Linked DNA regions of Arabidopsis thaliana. The protein of the gene in region 1 interacts with the protein of each later gene in a pairwise test. Each region holds a gene or a part of one and is shown on either strand. Other genes may lie near its edges. The genes, in order: SFP1, AT2G22425, AT1G76185 and ABCB16.

What was found.
Region 2: the proteins of SFP1 (region 1) and AT2G22425 interact in a protein complementation assay, tested with the Arabidopsis thaliana proteins (one large-scale study listed by BioGRID).
Region 3: the proteins of SFP1 (region 1) and AT1G76185 interact in a protein complementation assay, tested with the Arabidopsis thaliana proteins (one large-scale study listed by BioGRID).
Region 4: the proteins of SFP1 (region 1) and ABCB16 interact in a protein complementation assay, tested with the Arabidopsis thaliana proteins (one large-scale study listed by BioGRID).

What each region holds. Positions count from the first base shown.
Region 1 is NC_003076.8:9,646,660-9,654,526, reverse strand, and holds SFP1 (Major facilitator superfamily protein), read right to left. Parts: upstream 6,020-7,867; 5' UTR 5,570-6,019; coding exon 5,426-5,569; intron 5,284-5,425; coding exon 5,221-5,283; intron 4,077-5,220; coding exon 3,987-4,076; intron 3,855-3,986; coding exon 3,795-3,854; intron 3,655-3,794; coding exon 3,589-3,654; intron 3,504-3,588; coding exon 3,438-3,503; intron 3,270-3,437; coding exon 3,194-3,269; intron 3,047-3,193; coding exon 2,982-3,046; intron 2,883-2,981; coding exon 2,790-2,882; intron 2,649-2,789; coding exon 2,568-2,648; intron 2,476-2,567; coding exon 2,391-2,475; intron 2,024-2,390; coding exon 1,980-2,023; intron 1,605-1,979; coding exon 1,542-1,604; intron 1,458-1,541; coding exon 1,398-1,457; intron 1,308-1,397; coding exon 1,254-1,307; intron 1,146-1,253; coding exon 1,086-1,145; intron 985-1,085; coding exon 870-984; intron 491-869; coding exon 351-490; 3' UTR 101-350; downstream 1-100. UniProt on the Arabidopsis thaliana protein: Sugar transporter.
Region 2 is NC_003071.7:9,513,146-9,516,223, forward strand, and holds AT2G22425 (Microsomal signal peptidase 12 kDa subunit (SPC12)), read left to right. Parts: upstream 1-1,549; 5' UTR 1,550-1,843; intron 1,844-1,927; 5' UTR 1,928-1,933; coding exon 1,934-2,212; 3' UTR 2,213-2,529; downstream 2,530-3,078. Other genes in the region: AT2G22420 (Peroxidase superfamily protein), read left to right, coding at 196-399, 483-674, 746-1,339. UniProt on the Arabidopsis thaliana protein: Component of the signal peptidase complex (SPC) which catalyzes the cleavage of N-terminal signal sequences from nascent proteins as they are translocated into the lumen of the endoplasmic reticulum. Dispensable for SPC enzymatic activity.
Region 3 is NC_003070.9:28,588,786-28,592,063, forward strand, and holds AT1G76185 (NADH-ubiquinone oxidoreductase chain), read left to right. Parts: upstream 1-1,539; 5' UTR 1,540-1,711; coding exon 1,712-1,824; intron 1,825-2,164; coding exon 2,165-2,372; 3' UTR 2,373-2,746; downstream 2,747-3,278.
Region 4 is NC_003074.8:10,610,510-10,618,284, reverse strand, and holds ABCB16 (P-glycoprotein 16), read left to right. Parts: upstream 1-1,923; 5' UTR 1,924-1,983; coding exon 1,984-2,181; intron 2,182-3,273; coding exon 3,274-3,328; intron 3,329-3,439; coding exon 3,440-3,618; intron 3,619-3,687; coding exon 3,688-4,145; intron 4,146-4,238; coding exon 4,239-4,779; intron 4,780-4,875; coding exon 4,876-5,754; intron 5,755-5,837; coding exon 5,838-7,214; 3' UTR 7,215-7,261; downstream 7,262-7,775.

The DNA.
Region 1 (7,867 bases):
TACTAGCTACTTCATATTAAACAGCAATATTAGGACTTAACAGTTTAGATTAATTAATCGCATGTTTATTGTTCATCATTAATTACCCTAGTTACCCAATACTAGAAATCAATCTCTTCTTTAATATATGTCCGAAAAATATTACATTTGCAATTTTAGAGATAAAATACACATGTACGTAGGCCAAGTTTTACATCTCGTAAATATACATCATAAAAATGGGGCTAATTACCCAGAAAAATAAAGTAGTAATTACATAATGAAAAAAAAAAATCCTTGTTTGTAAATAAACAAATATAACACCATAAACTGAATTTGATCATTTTTATAATAAAATAAAATAATTCAAATTAAGTTTGATTTCTTTCATCGGGCTGATGAATAAGTGAAACTTGTATTTCTTCGAGTGATAATCCTTTCGTTTCTGGAACGAGCAACCATATAAAAAGCAACGCTGCTCCACCGATACCCGCGAATATGAAAAACGTTCCTATTACATTAATTAAACTATATAAGAAAATTATAAATTAAATGCAATTATAATATATATATATATATATATAGACATTAGGAGAAAATAAAATAAATACAAACTATATAACATATTCACTCAACCAAAAATTTAACTAATTAGTCTTTTAAAATAAAATAAACAAATAGTTGTGTTATAAAATGTATATGAGGTTTCATTGAAATGCTATAAACACAGACTTTGAAAACTATATAAGTTTTCTAGACTTAATCATTGATTATTTCTATGCGATATACAAAAAAAAAGGATAAGTTATAACTTTTTTTGTTGATCACAAGATAATTTATATAACCAAAATTGTATAAAATGGATATTAAGAAAAAGAAAAACATAATACCTTGAGTGCTCCATTCGAACAGAAAGTTGAAAGCGTAAGTGACGATTGAACTACTTGAAAATGAGACTAACGTAACTATACTTCCTGCAGTTACTTTTATATTTATTGGAAATATCTGCACACACCAAAAATCATACATATATTACTTTATTTTTCAAGACATATTACTTACTTCCTGCATAGAAATAAAATTAACAGTGAAGTAAATTTATGTACCTCCGACATAATTACCCAAGGTAGACCTCCCAAGCCTATTGCATAAGTTGCAATATACATCTGCCGATTTAAAAAATATCAATTTTAACTATATTTTATATGTAAAAGAAACATCAACGTAAATATTTTCATCAAAAAGATTGTGTACAAGGAGATATAATGTCTTACCATTACGCATATAAACGATAATATTGGAGTTAGTTCCGAAAGCAATTGCATTTTCTGCTCATGCAAAAACATTGTTAAACAAATAAGTTATTGGTTTAAAAACAGAATAAATAAAAATAGTAATTATCTTACAAAAAAAATAACCTGTAATGTGAAGGCGACCCCAAGTAGCATGCAAGTCATGCTCATCCCAAACGCTGAAGTCTATGTCAAAATAGTAATCAAATCAATATAGACTAATAGATTTGAATCTGCGAACAGCCAGAAATTATTTAAAGACATGCTCACCATCAGGAGAGGACGTCTGCCCCATTTATCGACAAGAATGAGGCCAATCATGGCTTTTGGAATCTGCGAATAGCCAGATATTATACCATTCAATGCTTTCACGAGTTAAAAGAAAAAAAACTAGTACATGAAAATTCTTAGTTCAAAGAGTTCATTAAAGTACGAAATTTTAACAAAATAAAAAATGTCGTTTTTTCAACTGTGATAAAATGTCGATTAAAACGCCAACATCACACAAGTTTTGTTTTTTTTTGAATATTTGGAAGTTGAAACCCAAAAATTCTATATCTCCTAGAAACGCGACCTATACCAGGTTAAATAACATCACACAAGTTTAGTTGCTCAATAACAACAGATTTCAGAGACGTAGTTTCATTTCTTAAATTTTGCATCCATATAGTCAAACAAAATTTGAGAAAAACATTTATATATACTTACCACGAAGATACCTAGCATCGTCGTTCCAATGGCCACCGAAAAACCTGTTTCCATCCAGAACAATTATTGAGCAAAAAAAAATGGAAAGAGGAACTCATGGTAAATATTTACTAAAACCCTTTCTCTTAAAGTATTTAGAATGAGCTAATGGCATCATTTTACAAAATAAATACACAATTTAATTTTATTTTGAGAAATCTTAGGAGTTCAGGACCTTTGCCCATAATCTATTGATTGGTAGAATAAAATATGTTTTGTTAGAAAAAAAAACATTCTCAGAGAAACTGAAACTTCTATGCAAATCTTCACTTGCAGATTTGAACAGATTGTCATATAATATATATATAGTTATTATTATTTCTGACATTTTAATATAAAATTAAACATTAATAAAAATAAATGAATGCTTACCAGCTTTTCTAAAAATGGTACTTGCATAAGAGATTACAGCAGCACTTCCTGAGAATTGTTGTATCAACATTAGCCCGATTCCTACCTGAGATATTAATTAAAAATGAATGCTTGTGCAGATAAATTAAATATGAAAATTTGATACTCTAGAAATTAGTTTGATGTACTTGTACGTACCACGAGGGTGTATCTATACTTTCTCTGGAACAAATCTGAAAAACTCGACTTTGAATCATTTTCCACCATTTTGGTCATTACCTGAAAACAACACAGAATTATTCAGACTTTACATTTTTTTATTTGTGAAGGAATGAAAATATAATTTCAAAGAAAAAGGGAATGTATATTTATTGAAAATTATATAAATTATAACTGATAATAGTATATAGTAAAACTCACTTGAATTTCTGAGGCTTCACGTGAAATATCAGCATCTCTTCCTCTAAGCCGAAACAGTGAATTTTCTAGTTCTTTATCGGAGCCAACTTTGGCCTTCAAAATGAAAATAGTTTGGTTTAAATTTTTTTCTTCTCATGGTTGATAATAATTAATAAATTACGTAAAACACTAAAGAAAAATTAAATGACCAACCAGCCATCTTGGAGACTCTGGCACGAAGAATAAACCGATTACTTGAATGAAGCATGGTAAAGCACCTAAACCAAAAACGTATTACATTTTTATCAGTTGATTTGCTATAATATAACAGCTGAAGATTTCCAGTTTTTTTCTACTATACATTTAACATATTCTTACGTCTCAAAACAATTTTTTCACGATGAATATGGAATTTATAGTCTTACCTAATAAAGCCAACGTCCTCCAAGTGATGAAATTCCCACAGAAATAAATCATGGCGAGTCCAGCGTTTTGAAGAAGCTAATAATCAATAATTACACAAGAATGAAACAAGGATCAATATACTCACGAGAAATTTTGAAAAGTTTTAATTTGGATTTTGGTTGGTTTGTCTTAGACTAGTTTGTGCTATTTTTTTTTTTTGTCAGCACTCATTCTTATAAATATTCTAAAAACCTAAAGTATTACCTGGTTTGAAAACGTAAATGTACCACGAACATGTTTTGGCGTAATTTCTGCTATGTAGACAGGTACCTGCTTGGTAAATAAGCAAAAATTACAGATCAGAAAACAAACTTACAAAGATGATATTAAATAATAATAATAATAAGTTAATTACCACATAGCTCGTCAAGCCGAAACCTATCCCTGAAATGATTCTTCCGAAGTTCAGCAACACTACTTCCTATTGTATTCCAAAACATAACATAAATTTAATTATTGGGTTTATAATAACCATAAATTAATTGGTTTGTTTATTTTCTAAGAAATAATGTTTGAATGAAAAAAAAAACATGTTTATGAATAGAAAATAACTAGTAGTACCTTAGCAAAAGCGATGGAGAGCCAACCAGTGATGCATAGGAAATCGGAGACCCACATTGTCTATTATATCATAAATAGCAAAAATATTATTATAAGCATCATATATACGAAAATTATAGTCACGAAAGAACCAAAAAAATAGAAGAATGGTAAAATTACGAATATGAAAGGTGAAATGGTTAAATTAATTACCCCTCTTCTGCCAATGACCATTGCCAGATTACCGCAGAACAGTGCACCAATTGCAGCTCCTAAAGTGGCGAATGAGCCAAAAGCTGAAAACTGAGAAAAAAATGATTTATAACAAATATAGTTTTCATATATATAGTATTATTATTATTATTTTTAATATATATATATATATATATATATATATAATATTTCAATATTTCAAATTTCTATTATTGTAGATGAGAGAATTGGCCGGAGAATGGTTCTGGAACGATGGAAACGTTGATAGCTAGATAATGTTTTTATAAGATGATTTTGACAACCGCTCAATATATCAGGATATATGTGCATATATATAGTTTTGGTAGGGTTATTATTATGATAAATAATGTTTTTTTTTGGATGATTTCGACAATTCCATATATATCAGGATAATATATATATATAGTTTTGGTAGGGTTATGATAAGAGTTTAAAAAATGGGTAAAAAAGGAGGTGAACCACACCAACAAAGAAGTATAATCAACTCAATGGGATAACGACAATCTATATGTTTCTTCTTTAGAATTGATGGTTGTTTGTTTCAATTTGAATGAATAAAGAAACAAATATTTACGGATTTAAAAATGATGTGAAGCTTGTATTTTGATAAAAATTGAACGATAATTAACCTAGCTATTTTTTGCATATGTCAATATGTCACTCGCTCTCAGTTGCTTAATTATACACAAAACTTTGTTTGTTTGTTTAAGGATGATAGTATAAAAGAATTAACTTTGAATGGATGTGGTTTTTAAACTAGTTTTTGGTTTTAGTTTTTTCTAAAATCTATTTTGTAACCATTCAAAATTTTGAAAAAACAAGTTTTCTTAAAAAAATAGGGAATCTAGTTTTTGAGTGTTTTAACAACTTTTCAAAGAAAATCAAAATCTATGTTTTGAGAGTTTCTCTATAAAAAAACCATCGATCACATTTTTTATTTTATTTTTAGATTTTTTTTGTAAAATAAAATATAATCCATTAACATAAAAACCAAAATCTAAACAAATTACCATTCAAGTTTTTAAGAAACTAAAATCTACACCAAAAACAAAAACCAAGAAAATCAAAAACTAAAAACCAAAATCCAAAAACCATTTTAAAAACTACAAACATTCATGGCCTTAGTCTTTTTTTTTTGATAAAATTTGCTACTTGGTTAATTTTCAATACATGTTTTTAGAAATAGAAGAAAAACCGTAAAAGAGAGACATACTTGCGCGATAGAAAGATCCAAGTCCTTCATAACTCCTGTCTCAGCACCTGAAGTGTAACCAGTCTGTATAAAAACAACAAAAACTATAAGAAAATAGGTATAACGTAATTATGAAGTATGTTTTCTTTTCATACAATTTTGTTGTTTTCATTTGTTCTTCTATAGAAGAAGAAAAAATCAAAGTAAGGTAAAGTAGAAAACTCACAGCAACACCAAAAGAGAAGGAGCCACAAACGGCGACAAAAGTGCTAAGGATAACACAAGCAGTAATACGACACTCTGAATCGTCGTTTTTGTTCTTGAGCTGCAAAAGCCCTTCTTCTATGCTTCTTCCTTCCTCCATCACCATCCCTTACACTTGCATGTACTAATATGACGAAACTTATGGTAAAGAAACAGTGAGAGCTAGAGAGAAAATGCTCTGTTTTTAGCAAAAAACCAAGAGAGCTAGAGAAAGAAGAGAAAGAGAGCGAATGATGTGTTTGTCAATTTAGACTACGTATAAAAAGAGGCTGGGAATTAAAAATGGTTATTTTGGTTTTCTACTCTTTAGGGGTTTTGGATTGGAAAAGCTAACGTGTGGACGTGAGACGTTTTTTTAAACAAGATCAAGTCAAATTTCATTAAACCAAGTTTTGTTGTTTTAAATTATAAAAATACAGCTAAGTATTAGTATATGATCATTCATCATCTGGATTCTAAAATAGTTTGACGTATACAAAATGCTAAACACTTTGAAAAAATATCCTTTAACCAGCAAATGGTGAAGACTTCTAATTAAGGGTTGGATTGGAAAGCTAACGTGGACGCGTAAGACCTTTTTTGTAAGACTTTGGGTTTTATTGGTAACCAAAAGCTGTACAAAATTTTTATTTGTTAGCTTTATCGGAATAGTACAAAGCTGTTAAAAGGAACTGTATAAAAAAAGCTGAGAGTAAAACACTTTTTGTAACGTTTTTGATAAAAAAATTGTGATTGGTAACTGTCAAAACGGTACAAAACTGTATTGTTATTAAAATGGTTACCATTCAAACCCTTTATATCATTTTAAGTCAAATTTCATTCAACTAAGTTTTCTTCTTGAAAAAATAAATACAAGTACTATTTAAATTATTATTATATGATCATTTGTCATGAGCGTATTCTTAAATAGTTTGACGAATTAAAAATACTGTAGTATGAAAAAAATATTGACATATTCTTTAAAATACCAAAGTTTTTTTTATAACAAATTATAAACAACGATTAATCGTCTATAGCGAATGATCCTAGTTATATGTCAATGTGGAGAAAGCTCTTTTCACATATAATTGGAAGCAATAATCTGAGTCAGGACATATACGTTACCTTGGATCAACAAAAATCGACAGTTACTCTTTTTTTCTCTCTGAAAGATTATTCTCAACTTGTAAAAGTGACGTCTTCTCTTGTTGATTGGTCCCTTATCTCAACGTATCTAGATGGATTCACGATAAGTATTATTTTGAATTCCATGCAATTTAAATTATATTAATGTGTATATATTGCTGGTTTGGATTATGGAATATTTTAACTTAAATTCATATCTTTGAGTAAAAAAAATATCTCTCCAAGACTATAACATTATAAGTTTGAATGGTAACACAATACAGCTTTGTACAGTATTGATAGTTATCAATCACAAAAACTTTATCAAAAACGTTACAAAAAGTTTTCTTCTTAGATTTTTTGTACAGTTTTTTTATACAGCTCTTTTAACAGTTTTGCACTATTTCGATAAAGTTAACAGCTAAAAAACTTGTACAACTTTTGGTTATCAATCAGATCCTATATTCGGGTGTTTTAAGAAGTTTTCACTCGTAACCAAAAGAAAATTGGATGACGATGGAACTCCATATTTGATGTAGAAAAAACAATCATTTATAGTCATTCATAATCATTGGATGAAAACCGTACGTTTCAACCTTTTTGTTTCTTTTTTTACATTAACTTGTTTAAATACCTCACAAGTTATTAGAACCTTTTAGTCATTCTTTGATTGAGTTTGCTAATACTTTTAATTAAATGTTTAATTAATCATAATTTAACGTTTTTGTCCTCCGTTGTTATTATTCTTACGTGAGGATCTATATTTGTACCTGTTACCATCTAGAAATGGAACCAAGTATTTAATTTTATTCATCAGTCTGCTGCTGAATTTTAAATATTAGGAGATTATAAAAAAAGAAAGGTCAACTAAAGAATTCGTAACGCGTACGGATCAACTATAATATCAATAAATGCTATTTTTGACAAATTATCAAATCTACAAATATTTTTAAACGCTTAATGACATATCTGTCCAAATAAACCATACAGAAGGAGAAATGATTAATGGAACTATATAACTAACGATAGTACTAATTTAAGTGTTGTCTAAAATTTTGTATAAACAACTTTAATCTAAAATCGGATAGACAGAAACATGTTAGAATTCAACATGTTATCTGACAATTAATCCATATGTAATTGTACATACAAATAGTCGTTTGGAATTTGAAACTACTAACTACATCAATTAATCATCGAAACGAAGTACATAGATAAGACCCTTGGAACATTAGATAGAGAACCAACTTACTTGCCTTAAATTCTCCTGAATCTACGATCTAATCCATTATATCCCCAA
Region 2 (3,078 bases), on another chromosome or scaffold:
TTTATTAAAGAAATAAATTATAGAAATTGGAATGCCCACCACCACCAGAGACCACACTTGCACAAATTCCATCTATAAACACAAAAGCCTTTAGTATCATTCTCGAAAACCACCAAAAACCTCTTTATAACCCAACAAACAAAGTCTCTACTTCTTCTTCAATCACTGAAACACAACACCAAAAAAGAAAAAAGTATGTCTCTTCTTCCCCATCTCATCCTCTACCTAACACTTTTGACGGTGGTTGTTACTGGAGAAACTCTCCGACCAAGATTCTACAGCGAGACATGCCCTGAAGCTGAATCCATAGTAAGAAGAGAAATGAAGAAAGCAATGATCAAAGAAGCAAGAAGCGTCGCTTCCGTCATGCGTTTCCAATTTCACGACTGTTTCGTCAATGTAAACACTATAAATCTTTCTCTCTGTTCTTGATCTTTACTCTGTTTTCCTCTCTGAATTTTTCTTTGAATCATCAAATTCAGGGATGTGACGCATCTCTGTTGCTTGACGACACACCAAACATGCTTGGTGAAAAACTATCACTTTCCAACATCGATTCACTAAGATCTTTCGAAGTCGTTGACGACATTAAAGAAGCTCTAGAGAAAGCTTGTCCAGCTACTGTTTCTTGTGCCGATATCGTTATCATGGCCGCTCGTGACGCCGTTGCTCTTGTAAGTCAAAATTCAATTTCCCCGGTTTAGTGAAATCTCGGTTTTGTAATTTTGGTCTTTGAAAAAACCAGACAGGAGGACCAGATTGGGAAGTGAAGCTAGGGAGGAAAGACAGTTTAACAGCGAGTCAGCAAGATTCCGACGATATAATGCCAAGTCCAAGAGCCAACGCAACTTTCTTGATTGATCTCTTCGAAAGATTCAATCTTTCTGTAAAAGACATGGTTGCTTTATCAGGGTCACACTCAATAGGTCAAGGTCGGTGTTTTTCAATCATGTTCAGACTTTATAACCAATCCGGTTCTGGTAAACCGGATCCAGCTCTTGAACCGAGTTACCGTAAGAAGCTTGATAAGCTTTGTCCTTTGGGTGGAGATGAGAATGTGACTGGAGATCTAGATGCAACACCTCAGGTTTTTGATAATCAGTATTTCAAAGACTTGGTTTCAGGGAGAGGGTTTCTTAACTCTGATCAGACTTTGTACACGAATCTAGTGACGAGAGAGTATGTGAAGATGTTTAGTGAGGATCAAGATGAGTTCTTTAGGGCTTTTGCAGAAGGCATGGTGAAGTTGGGTGATTTGCAATCTGGGAGACCTGGTGAGATTAGGTTTAATTGTAGAGTTGTTAATAGAAGGCCTATTGATGTATTGCTTGTATCTTGAATTATCATTAGTAAAGAGAAGAAATCTTAATTATGACTTCTAAATTGATGCAAATCTTTTTAGCTACATGCCATGGATCTTGGTTCTCCAAAACTTTGATTTTGGTTTATGAATACTGGTCACTGCTAAAGCTACAATCTGGTCACACCAGTCTATAAAATAGTAAACATTATCTAATCACTGAAGTTGTTGTCCCAATAAACAAATTATGGACTGGACAAGTAGCAACATTCTAATTCTGAGGTACACACAAAGAAACTTAAATGTAAATATTCCTTGTTTCAAGGTTTCAGAATTTGCACATATACAAAATCTCGAAATAATTAAGGCACATTAAAAACCGCCGGTTCACCCGGTTATAGAGTAATCTGACCGTCCACTTTATCCGGTTTACTTTTAAACCGATTTTGTGGTCTTAGCTCATAAATGTCAAGAGTCCTTTCTTTTCTTCCCCATTGTTGAAAATCAGGTTTACAGATTCAGTGAGAGATCAGATCGCTAAAGGTTTGTGCAATTAGGGTTCTCAGATTCTCTCTTTTGTTTAACTTTGGATTCAAATCGCTAATGGTTTTTGATTTCGTTGTGTAGAAGAAAATGGATTGGCAAGGACAGAAACTGGTGGAGCAGCTGATGCAGATCTTACTGGTGATCTCCGGCGTTGTAGCGGTGGTTGTTGGCTACACAACGGAATCGTTCAGGACGATGATGCTGATCTATGCCGGTGGTGTTGTTCTCACGACTTTGGTTACTGTACCTAATTGGCCTTTCTACAATCTTCATCCTCTCAAATGGTTAGATCCGAGCGAAGCCGAGAAGCATCCCAAACCAGAAGTTGTCAGTGTTGCTTCGAAGAAGAAATTCTCTAAGAAATAGGTCTGATTCTGAATCTCTCTCTCTCTCTCTCTCTCTCTCTCTCTCAGAATTGTTTGTATGAGATATTTGTGGATCGGAATCTTAATTATGAATTGAATATTCTGGGTTGATTCTTATAATTATCTGTTTTTGCCAAAGGAATTTGCTTTTGAATCAATGGCTATGGCTGTAATCTGGCAATTTCACTGAATTGTGTAGATTATCTATCATCAGAGAGTTTTAGATGAAAAAGTCTTATGAATCACAAAAGTCTCAGTTTTTATGAAAATGGTACATAAATATCACACCATCCATTTACACTCTGTGTTAAGCTTGTGTGCAAAAACCAATGCTAGTCTTTGATGCTTTGCTCCTTCTTATTTTCTTGAGTCGAAGTAGAAATAGTTTGTGTGATTCCAAACTGTTCCGCTAGTCGCTGGTCAGAGGATTTGCACGGGTTCATATTCCGGGAGATTCGAGTCATCTGGCGAACGCGAACGCTTAAAGGTAGGTCATAGGCTTATGAAACGAAATGACAGTTGAATCAGCGAACGCGTACAGGTTTGGAATCAGAATTTGAGAGAACCAACATTTGGCAGGATGCTTGTAAATGAGCTGTGGAGAAAAAGGAGTGGTTTAGTTAGGTCAGCATTAGGAAGAAGCAGAGGATATGAAAAGTATACCTTCACCAGAAGGATGAAGCAAATTCACAAACAAAGAGAGAGCTCTCCGGAAGTAGCAATAGCCAAAATCTACATGGTATCGCAAAAAAAATACATCATGTGGATAAACAATAGAGGAAAATTCAGTGATTGTAAGAAACTAGTCAACTCTAGAGACAAAATCAAATACAAGGTATATATGACAAACGTATATCTTGAATGCTC
Region 3 (3,278 bases), on another chromosome or scaffold:
CTTATTTTTTCTTTCTTCTATTCTATGCGTTACAAAATACAAACAAACCAATAAGAACTTGGTTATTTAATTCTTATCACGCTATGAATCCTCAACGATTAGGTGTTATTTTAACTTATTATTCACTAAACATGTTGAAGAGGCCAATCTAGTAACGCATGATCTTTGAAATTGTAAATACATGATCTTGGATACTCTAAACAAAAAAAAAAACAAATCCAACAAGTAATATAAGTCCGATTGGCTCAATCGATTAGGAAGGTGTTGTTGCAATGCTACCGGATCTCATTTTTAGTCCTAATGCTACAATAAGACGGGTAATTTGCGCTTGTGAATCCGCCAAAAGTATTATCAAAGAAATGATCGTGGACATAAACAAACTAAAACTAAAGATTTAGATTTTAGAACGAATAGAAAGTTAGCATCATCTTTTGTTTACCATTTTTGGGGCACATAAAACAATCTTTCGTAATCTCGTTTATGGGAAAAGGGTTTGTGTATGTATTTTTTCAACGTAAATGGTTATGTTTTCATGCAGTTTTTAAAGATAAACTTAGATGTAGATAATGAAATCATGAGTAGACAAATGAGCATAAGATGACTTGGATTTCTTATGAATTAATATGTTAATGTGTGGGATGTCATTTTCGACCTATTGAAAAAGATATACTAAAAATATTAATGAAGGACAGATGGTAATCGGTAAATGCATCATCTCTTAAAATTCGCCTAAAATAAAAAAAATGAACCGACGTGCCACATCAGTAATCTCTGGTCTCTAAATTTAACAAAGACGTAGCACGAACCGTGACGTATCAACACACATATCAAACAAACCTATCTTTTTCAATACTAACTTATTCGTCTTTTTGGTTCTTGTTGTCATATACACCGAAGCTCAGCTCTTAACTTATTCTTTGGATAATGTTTTCGGTGATAGCGAACCGACAAATTGTAGCCGACACTTAGAATTCACAACTAAACTATAGATTTTAAAATAATATTAATTAATTCGAAAGTTTGAGATATCTGAACAAAGTTTTCTGAAAAACGTAGAATACATATGGATCAAATACTATAATTCGAAAGTTTCAGATTAGTGCTAAGTAATGAACGTCATGCGTTTGTTCTTCTGTCGATTTCTTCTTTTTCACCGCCCGTCTGAGTTTTATGGGCGTGATATTTTCCTTATTGTGGTCAAATCAGGAATATTCAACAATATTTAGCACTCGCTTTACTTGGTGGGACATGAGAATCAATCGATGCATCGCTGTTTTATTTCTTTTTCTTTGATGTTTCTATTTCTGTTAGAACAAAGTTTTCATGATTCTTAAAAGCCCAAATTTCATGGCATCGGAACAAAGTTTTCATATATGATGACAACTCAAAACAAAAGAGTAACGGTAAAAGCCCAATACCCATAAAATGGGCTTAAGAATCCAGATCGGATCTATAACCCGACCCGGTTGTTGACACCGAGAGAGTCCACGCAACGTTCGCCGAATTCCTAACGAATCGGACACCGTTTCGTCGCTGTAAAATTTTGATGCGAAATTTTCCAATTCACAGATTTTGTTTTTCCATTGTTTTGGATTTCTAGATTCTAGTTATATGTTGGTGATAGATTTTTCCTACATCTCGTGATTCTCAAACGCTTCTTGAGCTCTTCGTCGAATCGGGACTGTGATCGGGACTTGGTGGAGAAGAAGCGATGATAACAAGATCGAATCTAGCAGAACAGCTCAGGGAATATCAGATTAGATCAAAGCATGATTGGGCCTCCGTTTCTTTCTTCTCTTCCACCTCCAATTTCTCTTCCTCCAGGTTAGAGATCTCCGGCTTATCCTTTCCTTTTTAATCTGCTGTGATTTGGAGCTGCGTGCTTAGAGTTGTATTTGAAAAATTGTACTTTGTGATATTTAATTCAATTGGAACCGTAAATTTCTCATCTTTTAAGGGATTGTCGTTGAACATTGGATATCTATGTGAATCCTACACAAGGAACTATAATTTTGACTTGTCCACGTTGAACCATCTTTGACAATTTGACATACACTTTTCATTCTTATCGACTCTGTTGCAATCTGGATTCTATTGTTAAATTTTGACAATGAACATTCTATAGTGGTACTTATGCTATTCGTTTCGTTTGCTTTTGATTCAGGGTTGATGTTGTAGTCTTTGTCATATGGGAACTAGTGATGTTAGCACTCGTGGTGTTTTCAGCTGTATCCTTGTACTTCAGGCGGTTGCAACTTGCTTTTATCCTGCTTTGTGTCACCTTACTATTACTCCTCTGTATGAAAATCACAAAGCAAGTGAGACATGCTAGGAAGAAGAAGCGAAGGATGCTTCTTCCTCTCTCTATGTAAAGACCGAAACCATTGAGCTGTTGCGAACCGTTTATCTTCTCACACAACCAAACCACAACTCTTCTCTGGCATGAGTTTTGTGCCCATATGCATTGATGAAGATGACAGCTAAGCTCAGACTGACTCTGGGACGCATCGCTTTTGTCCTTTGAAGAATCGACCTGAACTTGAGATATGAAACCAGGGACTGCAATTTCAAGGCTTAGCTTAGACAAATCAGAACAAAAGTGCTGTAAAGGTTGTTTTCCTGTATAAAGTAGTATGGGAGGTTGCTTTATTTTTCCTAGGCACGATCACGGATTGTTAACTTGAGCGTTTTGTGATTAAAGATAGTTTTTCCATCTATCTATGTTACACTTAATATCATGATGAAGTGATTTAGATTTGTTGGCTGTAAAAAGTTTTTAAAAAATGATTTGCAGGATTTTCATGTGACGAGAAAAAGAAAAACAACGAACACTCATGAAAGTAGAAGAGAGAACTATAAAATGAAAAGTAGCAAGCAACTTGCTCGAAACGCTCACATGTTTCTATCATTACCTTTGCGCTCTGCAACTACTTTAGTATCTTGTTAAAGAAAAAGTGGTAATAGTTAGTATTATTTGTAATGTTATGGTCTGTCAATACACTAGCTTAGCTTGATTTGATTAACTTAATTTCCAAATAATGAGATACTGTCTACATGGTGATATAGCTTTGTCAAAGTTCATTAATGACAATGACAAAAACAAGTGTGTTAGTAACCAAGATAATTGCATTTAGTCGTAATTCATGTTTTGAAACGGAAATAATTAGAAAGATCGAAAATCTCTAGATATTTGTAGAAGGTCAGTACATAACTCCACGAGTGGTCGTGATCCAATTTGTGGACAAATTTGAAAAGCAACTAAAAACAATCAAATAAGC
Region 4 (7,775 bases), on another chromosome or scaffold:
TATTACCTAAGATGTGGAGGATATGAGGAAAGAGTTAAGCAGACATTATTTAAATGTCATCTTTCACTATAAACGTGGGTCTTATCTCTAATCTCATCGGCTTTTTAATTAGTTATCTTTGGAAAAAAATCAGGTTTTTGAAATTTTGTAAGCGGACAAAGAAGTTCATTTGTGATATCTCACATGGACTTTCGTGAGCCATCAGATATTTCAAGTCATACTATATCTGATTTCAAGGCTTGGAAGGAAGCTCAATTAACTTGCCGATGTAATAGTTCAACTGGTAAGGTCCATAACACATGAAAATTTTCAAGTGGATGGATCTTGGAAGGATTGCCAACCCTAGTTTTGTCTCTCTTTATTTAGAGTTTTTAAACCATGTTTTTTGAGGGGATCGAGAGACTAGATTTTGAGACTGATTGCGCGGAGTTGATCAAGATGATGCATTGTCTTGTTGATTGACCCGTCTTCTCTAGCTTTCTAGATGAGTTCGGACTACTTGAAATCCTTTTATTGTTTCTCGTTTTTTTCAGAAATAATTATTGTAATTGAAATTATAGAATGTATTGCATATTTTGTTGAGTACGTACTTTTCTATTGATTAATTATAAGACTTTGAACTACAAATCTCTTGATAGAAATCACACTTTGGCAGTGGAAAACATGGAATTATAAACATGGTGGTAGAGAGGAAGCATTGATTATAATATTTCACTTCCATATTGTATATTTCTTGGTTTTCTGGTTCACTATCGAGTCGTTTTTACTGTCTTCTTTGGTGGGCAACATGGAATCTTTAAAAGAAAGAGCATAATCTAAAGAGATTAGCAATCACTTTCATAAAGTATAAGCTAAAGAGATTAGCAATTTACTATTGTTTCCAATCAAACATTAAACTTTTAACAACACTCCCAGAGTGATTGTCCATATAAGATTTCACTACAGAAAATGGATGACGTCGATTTACCAGCTTCACTTCGTAAACCAACGTAAAATTTTTAATATATGAAGGTCCATTAAAATAAATGTCCACTACATAAATCAGAGTCTAAACTGTTTATTTGATTTATTAGCTTATGCTTAAGAACTTTTACGAGCTTCTTTGTAATTGACTTTAAAGCGAGACAATATTAACGTCATACAATAATACGACGGTCTCCAAACTGACGGTAGAAGTTTTAAGTCAGCTTATATATAACTGACGTTACACTTAATATTAACCGACGTAATTTGCCGTGTTCTCTTTGTAATGTTGCGAGAAAGACATCTATAAAAATTAGATCATAAAATTTGAGTCTAGAATAACATGCTAAACAATCTCCTGTACTATCTTTTTAAATCGAGTAGTCGCTGGTGACGTCCACAAGAAAAATTGCGGTCATTTTGCCAAATCATGAGAAGTCCCTTTAACTTTGCGAAAGTATGCAATAAAAACTCAAATAAGTATGTTTCCTAAAAAAAAAAAAAAATTGTATGGTATGAGAAATTTAAACTATTTTGATATTGACGTTCGTCGTTATGTCGTAAAATCAAATCAATATCTTTACAAAAGCATTGTGAATTAATGAAGAAATTAACCTAATTGTTTATCAAAGAAAAAGAAACAGCAATACACGAAAGTATTTGAAGTTCATACACAAATTAAATTTTGAAAACTAATTTATTAGCTTAAAGCCTTGAAGTACTCAGCATATATTATTTTATTTGTTTTCTTGTAGCTAGGTTACTGAGCCTGGTTCGCGTCTTCGCGAGGAGTTGTATAAGTTTTACCGAATTAAAATAGGTACTGCAGGTATATAACAGATGTTAACAAATAATATTATATATATCATATCATATCACTTTCGGTGAAGTCGCTCTGTCTCGGCTACTATATATAGAACAATCAGGAAGACGGAAAAAATAACATTACACTTGAAAAAAATCCACAAATATAAATGAAAAGAGAGAATCTTTTGTTCTTGAAGAAAAAGAGAGAAGAAGATGAAGACATGGGGAAGCATGAGATCAATATTCATGCATGCCGACGGTGTAGATTGGATGTTGATGGGATTAGGGTTAATCGGAGCCGTCGGTGATGGCTTCATCACTCCTATTCTTTTTTTCATCACAGCCATGCTATTGAACGACTTCGGTAGTTTCTCTTTCAACGATGAAACCTTCATGCAACCCATTTCCAAGGTCCTTTCTCTCTATCTCTCTTCTTTTCTCTTTGTTTTGGTTTATATTCTCTCTAAGTAGGATCATAATACTAATTTAAGTATATAAGATTATATACAATAATACAATATATATATATATATATTTAAATTATAGTATTTTAAAAATTAAATATTACATGAATTGTTTTATATAATTTTATATTCTTTGAGTTGTAAAGAGTAAAGCAAATTAAGCAATGCTATTTTTTCATTTAATGTTATTTAAATTGATTTTGTAGGTTAAGGGGATAAACAAAAAGTTTTGTTTCATTAAAATTTAAATTCAAAGAATTTAGTTTAATTTCCATAGGATATTATATTCTATAACTAAAAAAGTTGGTAAGCAAGAGTTCGAGACTGAAAGTGAGAGCCATGCTAATCTCTAAAATGATGACTAAAATACATATATTTTTGCTATTTAATACGTTCATAGCCAATTTAAATAAAAATATTTCTCACATTCCCATAAATTAGTTACTACCAAACATTCAAAGAAGAAGCAGATAGACTGGATTATGAAGGGCGGGTCAAAAAGGCAATTGAACATTGGCTTACTGGGTGTAGTTAGATTATTTTAGCCAAATAAACTAGCAATAATCCAACAATTATGATAGAATTAACTAAATTACAATATTTAAATGAGTAGACTTTTTTTTTTCCAATGAGTAGACTGTAGACATAACAAGTGGTTTCTCATGTAATGATGACAGAGAGTTGTACAAATTCCAGCCAAGAAATTTACCTTAAAATGGAAAATCAAAACTAGACATGACCAAGTAGACCAAGCATGGTGGGATTCTTAATTAAAACGATCGGCTTATGACTTTTTCAAAAAATAAAAAACTATCGTCTTACATATATGTCCATATGTGTATGTTAAATAGGGATAGCAATAAGAGAAATGTGAAAACCCAAATATTTTATTACATAATCTTAAACTTCTTACTATAACTCAACGTGTAGTAAGATTACGATTACTATATTGCCCCACATATCAATTACATTACTTAAATATATAGGAAAGAGTACTAATATAGTATCTTCCTTCTTTTTTTCACGTTGTAACTAACAGAATGCTCTAGCCATGCTTTATGTGGCTTGTGCATCTTGGGTGATATGTTTCCTTGGTAAGTGTGTTTCTTTCAATTTTTTTTTTATCAAATTAAAATATTAATTTGGTGCACCTCAATATAACAAATTTTGTTTAATTTTGTGGATGGGTTTAATATTTAAAACAGAAGGATATTGTTGGACAAGAACAGGGGAGAGACAAGCAGCAAAAATGAGAGAAAGGTACTTAAGAGCAGTGTTAAGACAAGATGTGGGTTACTTTGATCTTCATGTCACAAGCACTTCTGATATTATTACCAGTGTCTCTAGTGACAGCCTTGTCATTCAAGACTTCCTCAGTGAAAAGGTTTTCAATTTTTATTTATCATATTTCTTGTTCTTAAACAATTTTTTTGATGATTTTGAATTCAAACAGTTACCAAACATTTTGATGAATGCATCTGCGTTTGTCGGAAGCTACATAGTGGGTTTCATGTTGCTGTGGAGACTCACAATCGTAGGCTTCCCATTCATCATTCTCCTCTTGATCCCTGGACTAATGTACGGACGAGCCCTCATTGGCATCTCGAGGAAAATACGTGAGGAGTACAATGAAGCTGGTTCTATCGCCGAACAAGCCATCTCTTCGGTTAGAACCGTCTATGCATTTGTTAGTGAGAAGAAGATGATAGAAAAGTTCTCAGATGCGCTTCAAGGGTCGGTGAAGCTAGGGTTGAGACAAGGGCTAGCTAAAGGAATTGCTATTGGGAGCAATGGTATAGTTTATGCTATATGGGGGTTCTTGACTTGGTATGGAAGTCGGATGGTTATGAACTATGGCTACAAAGGTGGTACTGTCTCCACAGTCACAGTTTGCGTCACCTTTGGTGGCACGTAAGTATTTAAGTTTAAGTCTCTTGGCATTTCCTAACACACAAAAAAAAAAACATCTCTTAGTTTTGATATTTGGTATTTTACATTATGCAGAGCACTTGGTCAAGCATTGTCGAATCTTAAATATTTCTCCGAGGCGTTTGTGGCAGGGGAACGGATTCAAAAAATGATAAAAAGAGTCCCTGATATAGATTCAGACAACTTGAATGGTCATATTTTGGAGACTATAAGAGGAGAAGTTGAATTCAACAACGTGAAGTGCAAGTACCCGTCTAGACCCGAAACCCTAATCTTTGATGATTTATGTCTGAAAATTCCATCAGGGAAAACTGTAGCTCTGGTTGGCGGAAGTGGATCGGGAAAATCAACAGTGATATCGCTTTTACAAAGGTTCTATGACCCGAACGAAGGCGATATTCTCATTGATAGTGTGTCCATTAATAATATGCAAGTGAAATGGTTGAGATCGCAAATGGGTATGGTTAGCCAAGAGCCATCGCTCTTTGCCACATCGATAAAGGAGAACATATTATTTGGTAAAGAGGACGCATCCTTTGATGAAGTAGTGGAAGCAGCCAAGGCCTCAAATGCTCATAATTTTATTTCGCAATTTCCTCATGGTTACCAAACTCAGGTTTAGACTCATATCTTTAGAGTAAATTTTTAAAGCCTTTTTTGTGTTTAGTTTGTTAATGAGAACGTATATTTGGTTTTTGTGTAAACCGAAAAGGTTGGGGAGAGAGGAGTGCATATGTCGGGAGGCCAGAAGCAGAGAATCGCAATTGCACGAGCGTTAATCAAATCACCGATAATTCTTCTCCTAGACGAGGCAACAAGCGCATTGGATTTAGAATCTGAAAGGGTGGTCCAAGAAGCCTTAGACAATGCATCAGTTGGTCGTACAACTATTGTTATTGCCCACCGTCTCTCTACCATTCGTAATGCTGATATTATATGTGTTCTACATAATGGTTGCATTGTAGAAACTGGATCGCACGACAAACTCATGGAGATAGATGGTAAATACACTTCTCTAGTTCGCTTACAACAAATGAAGAATGAAGAATCATGTGATAACACTAGCGTAGGTGTGAAAGAGGGCCGAGTCTCGAGTTTAAGAAACGATTTGGATTATAATCCAAGAGACTTGGCTCATAGCATGAGTTCAAGCATTGTTACGAATCTTTCTGACTCGATTCCTCAAGATAAGAAGCCGCTTGTGCCATCGTTTAAGAGATTGATGGCAATGAATAGACCAGAGTGGAAACATGCATTATGTGGTTGCTTAAGTGCATCCTTAGGTGGGGCCGTACAACCAATTTACGCATATTCGTCCGGGTTAATGATATCGGTATTTTTCCTAACCAACCATGAGCAGATCAAAGAGAATACAAGAATTTACGTGTTATTATTTTTTGGTCTAGCTCTATTCACTTTTTTTACTAGTATCAGTCAACAATATAGTTTTTCCTACATGGGAGAATACCTGACTAAACGTATCCGAGAACAGATGCTCTCGAAGATACTAACGTTTGAAGTCAATTGGTTCGATGAGGAAGAGAACTCAAGTGGTGCAATTTGCTCCAGACTAGCGAAAGATGCTAACGTGGTATATTTTCTGCCTTATTAATTTGACCTTCAATGAGAAATATATTTACCATTTATTGATCTTGAATTGCTTTGTCATGATAGGTAAGGTCGCTCGTTGGTGAAAGAATGTCATTGCTGGTACAAACCATATCAACAGTTATGGTAGCTTGCACAATTGGTTTGGTCATCGCTTGGAGATTCACCATTGTGATGATTTCAGTACAACCAGTAATTATTGTCTGCTATTATATTCAACGTGTTCTGCTCAAGAACATGTCGAAAAAAGCCATCATTGCCCAAGATGAAAGCAGTAAACTAGCTGCAGAGGCTGTCTCCAACATCCGAACCATCACAACCTTCTCATCACAAGAACGGATCATGAAATTACTCGAGAGAGTTCAAGAAGGTCCACGAAGAGAAAGTGCCCGCCAATCATGGTTAGCTGGGATTATGTTGGGGACTACGCAAAGCCTTATAACGTGCACCTCAGCTTTGAATTTTTGGTATGGTGGTAAATTAATCGCTGATGGGAAGATGGTATCAAAAGCATTCTTTGAGTTATTTTTGATCTTTAAGACTACAGGCCGGGCTATTGCCGAAGCTGGGACAATGACGACAGATCTAGCCAAGGGCTCAAATTCAGTTGACTCAGTATTCACAGTGTTAGATCGTCGAACCACCATTGAGCCGGAGAATCCGGATGGGTATATCTTAGAAAAAATAAAGGGCCAAATCACATTTCTCAATGTGGACTTCGCTTACCCAACGCGACCTAATATGGTTATATTCAACAACTTCTCCATAGAGATCCACGAGGGAAAGTCGACAGCGATCGTAGGTCCAAGTCGGTCGGGTAAGTCAACTGTAATCGGGTTAATCGAACGGTTCTATGACCCGTTACAAGGTATTGTGAAAATCGATGGCCGTGATATAAGGTCGTATCATCTAAGATCACTTCGTCAACACATGTCTTTGGTTAGTCAAGAACCAACATTATTCGCGGGGACAATCCGAGAAAACATAATGTATGGACGAGCATCTAACAAGATCGACGAGTCGGAGATTATCGAGGCAGGAAAGACGGCAAACGCTCACGAGTTCATTACATCACTATCAGACGGCTATGATACGTACTGCGGAGACAGAGGAGTACAATTGTCTGGTGGTCAAAAACAGAGGATAGCTATCGCCCGAACGATTTTAAAGAATCCATCAATTTTGCTCCTCGATGAAGCTACAAGCGCTTTGGACAGCCAATCAGAGCGTGTAGTGCAAGACGCCCTCGAACATGTGATGGTAGGGAAAACAAGCGTTGTGATCGCACATAGGCTTAGCACGATCCAGAACTGCGACACGATTGCTGTTTTAGACAAAGGAAAAGTTGTAGAAAGTGGGACACACGCTTCCTTGTTAGCAAAAGGTCCCACAGGCTCTTATTTCTCATTGGTCAGTCTTCAGAGAAAGGTCAGATATGTATAAATTATAAATTCACATATGTTTCACAAGCCTAAAACATGAAGCATGTTACCATGTAGACGTATTATTGGGTTTGTTAGTTGTTGGTGTAAAAATAATGCTGGGGTTCATTGCGTCTATACCTTTTAAAACCAAAGAACATGATCACTGTTGATGAAACTAGCTACGGACTAGTATTATTTCCTTCATCATTGCACGTTTGGTTAAGTTTCTAGACAAGTGGTTTCTTAGATCCTGAGAGGTGAAAAGTCAATGTCTTACCATCTTGGGACCGAGTAAATAAATCTTTCCTCAAGCAACCACAAGTGAGATTGGCTTTAACTAAGACACCTCCTTATCCTACAATGGATAAAAGAAAAACTTGTACATATCAAAGTTTACAGAAACAATAAACTTTGACAATGCAATCTTAGTCATGTTGACAGATTCTCCTCGCTTTCATAGCCAAGTGAGAACGGGTTCTCTGATCATCATCAGTCTCTTCACTATTATCGTAGCAGTCAAAGTACCTACCTATACAGATGCGGACATGCCTACATACTTTCAGGATGAGAATTCCAGGTA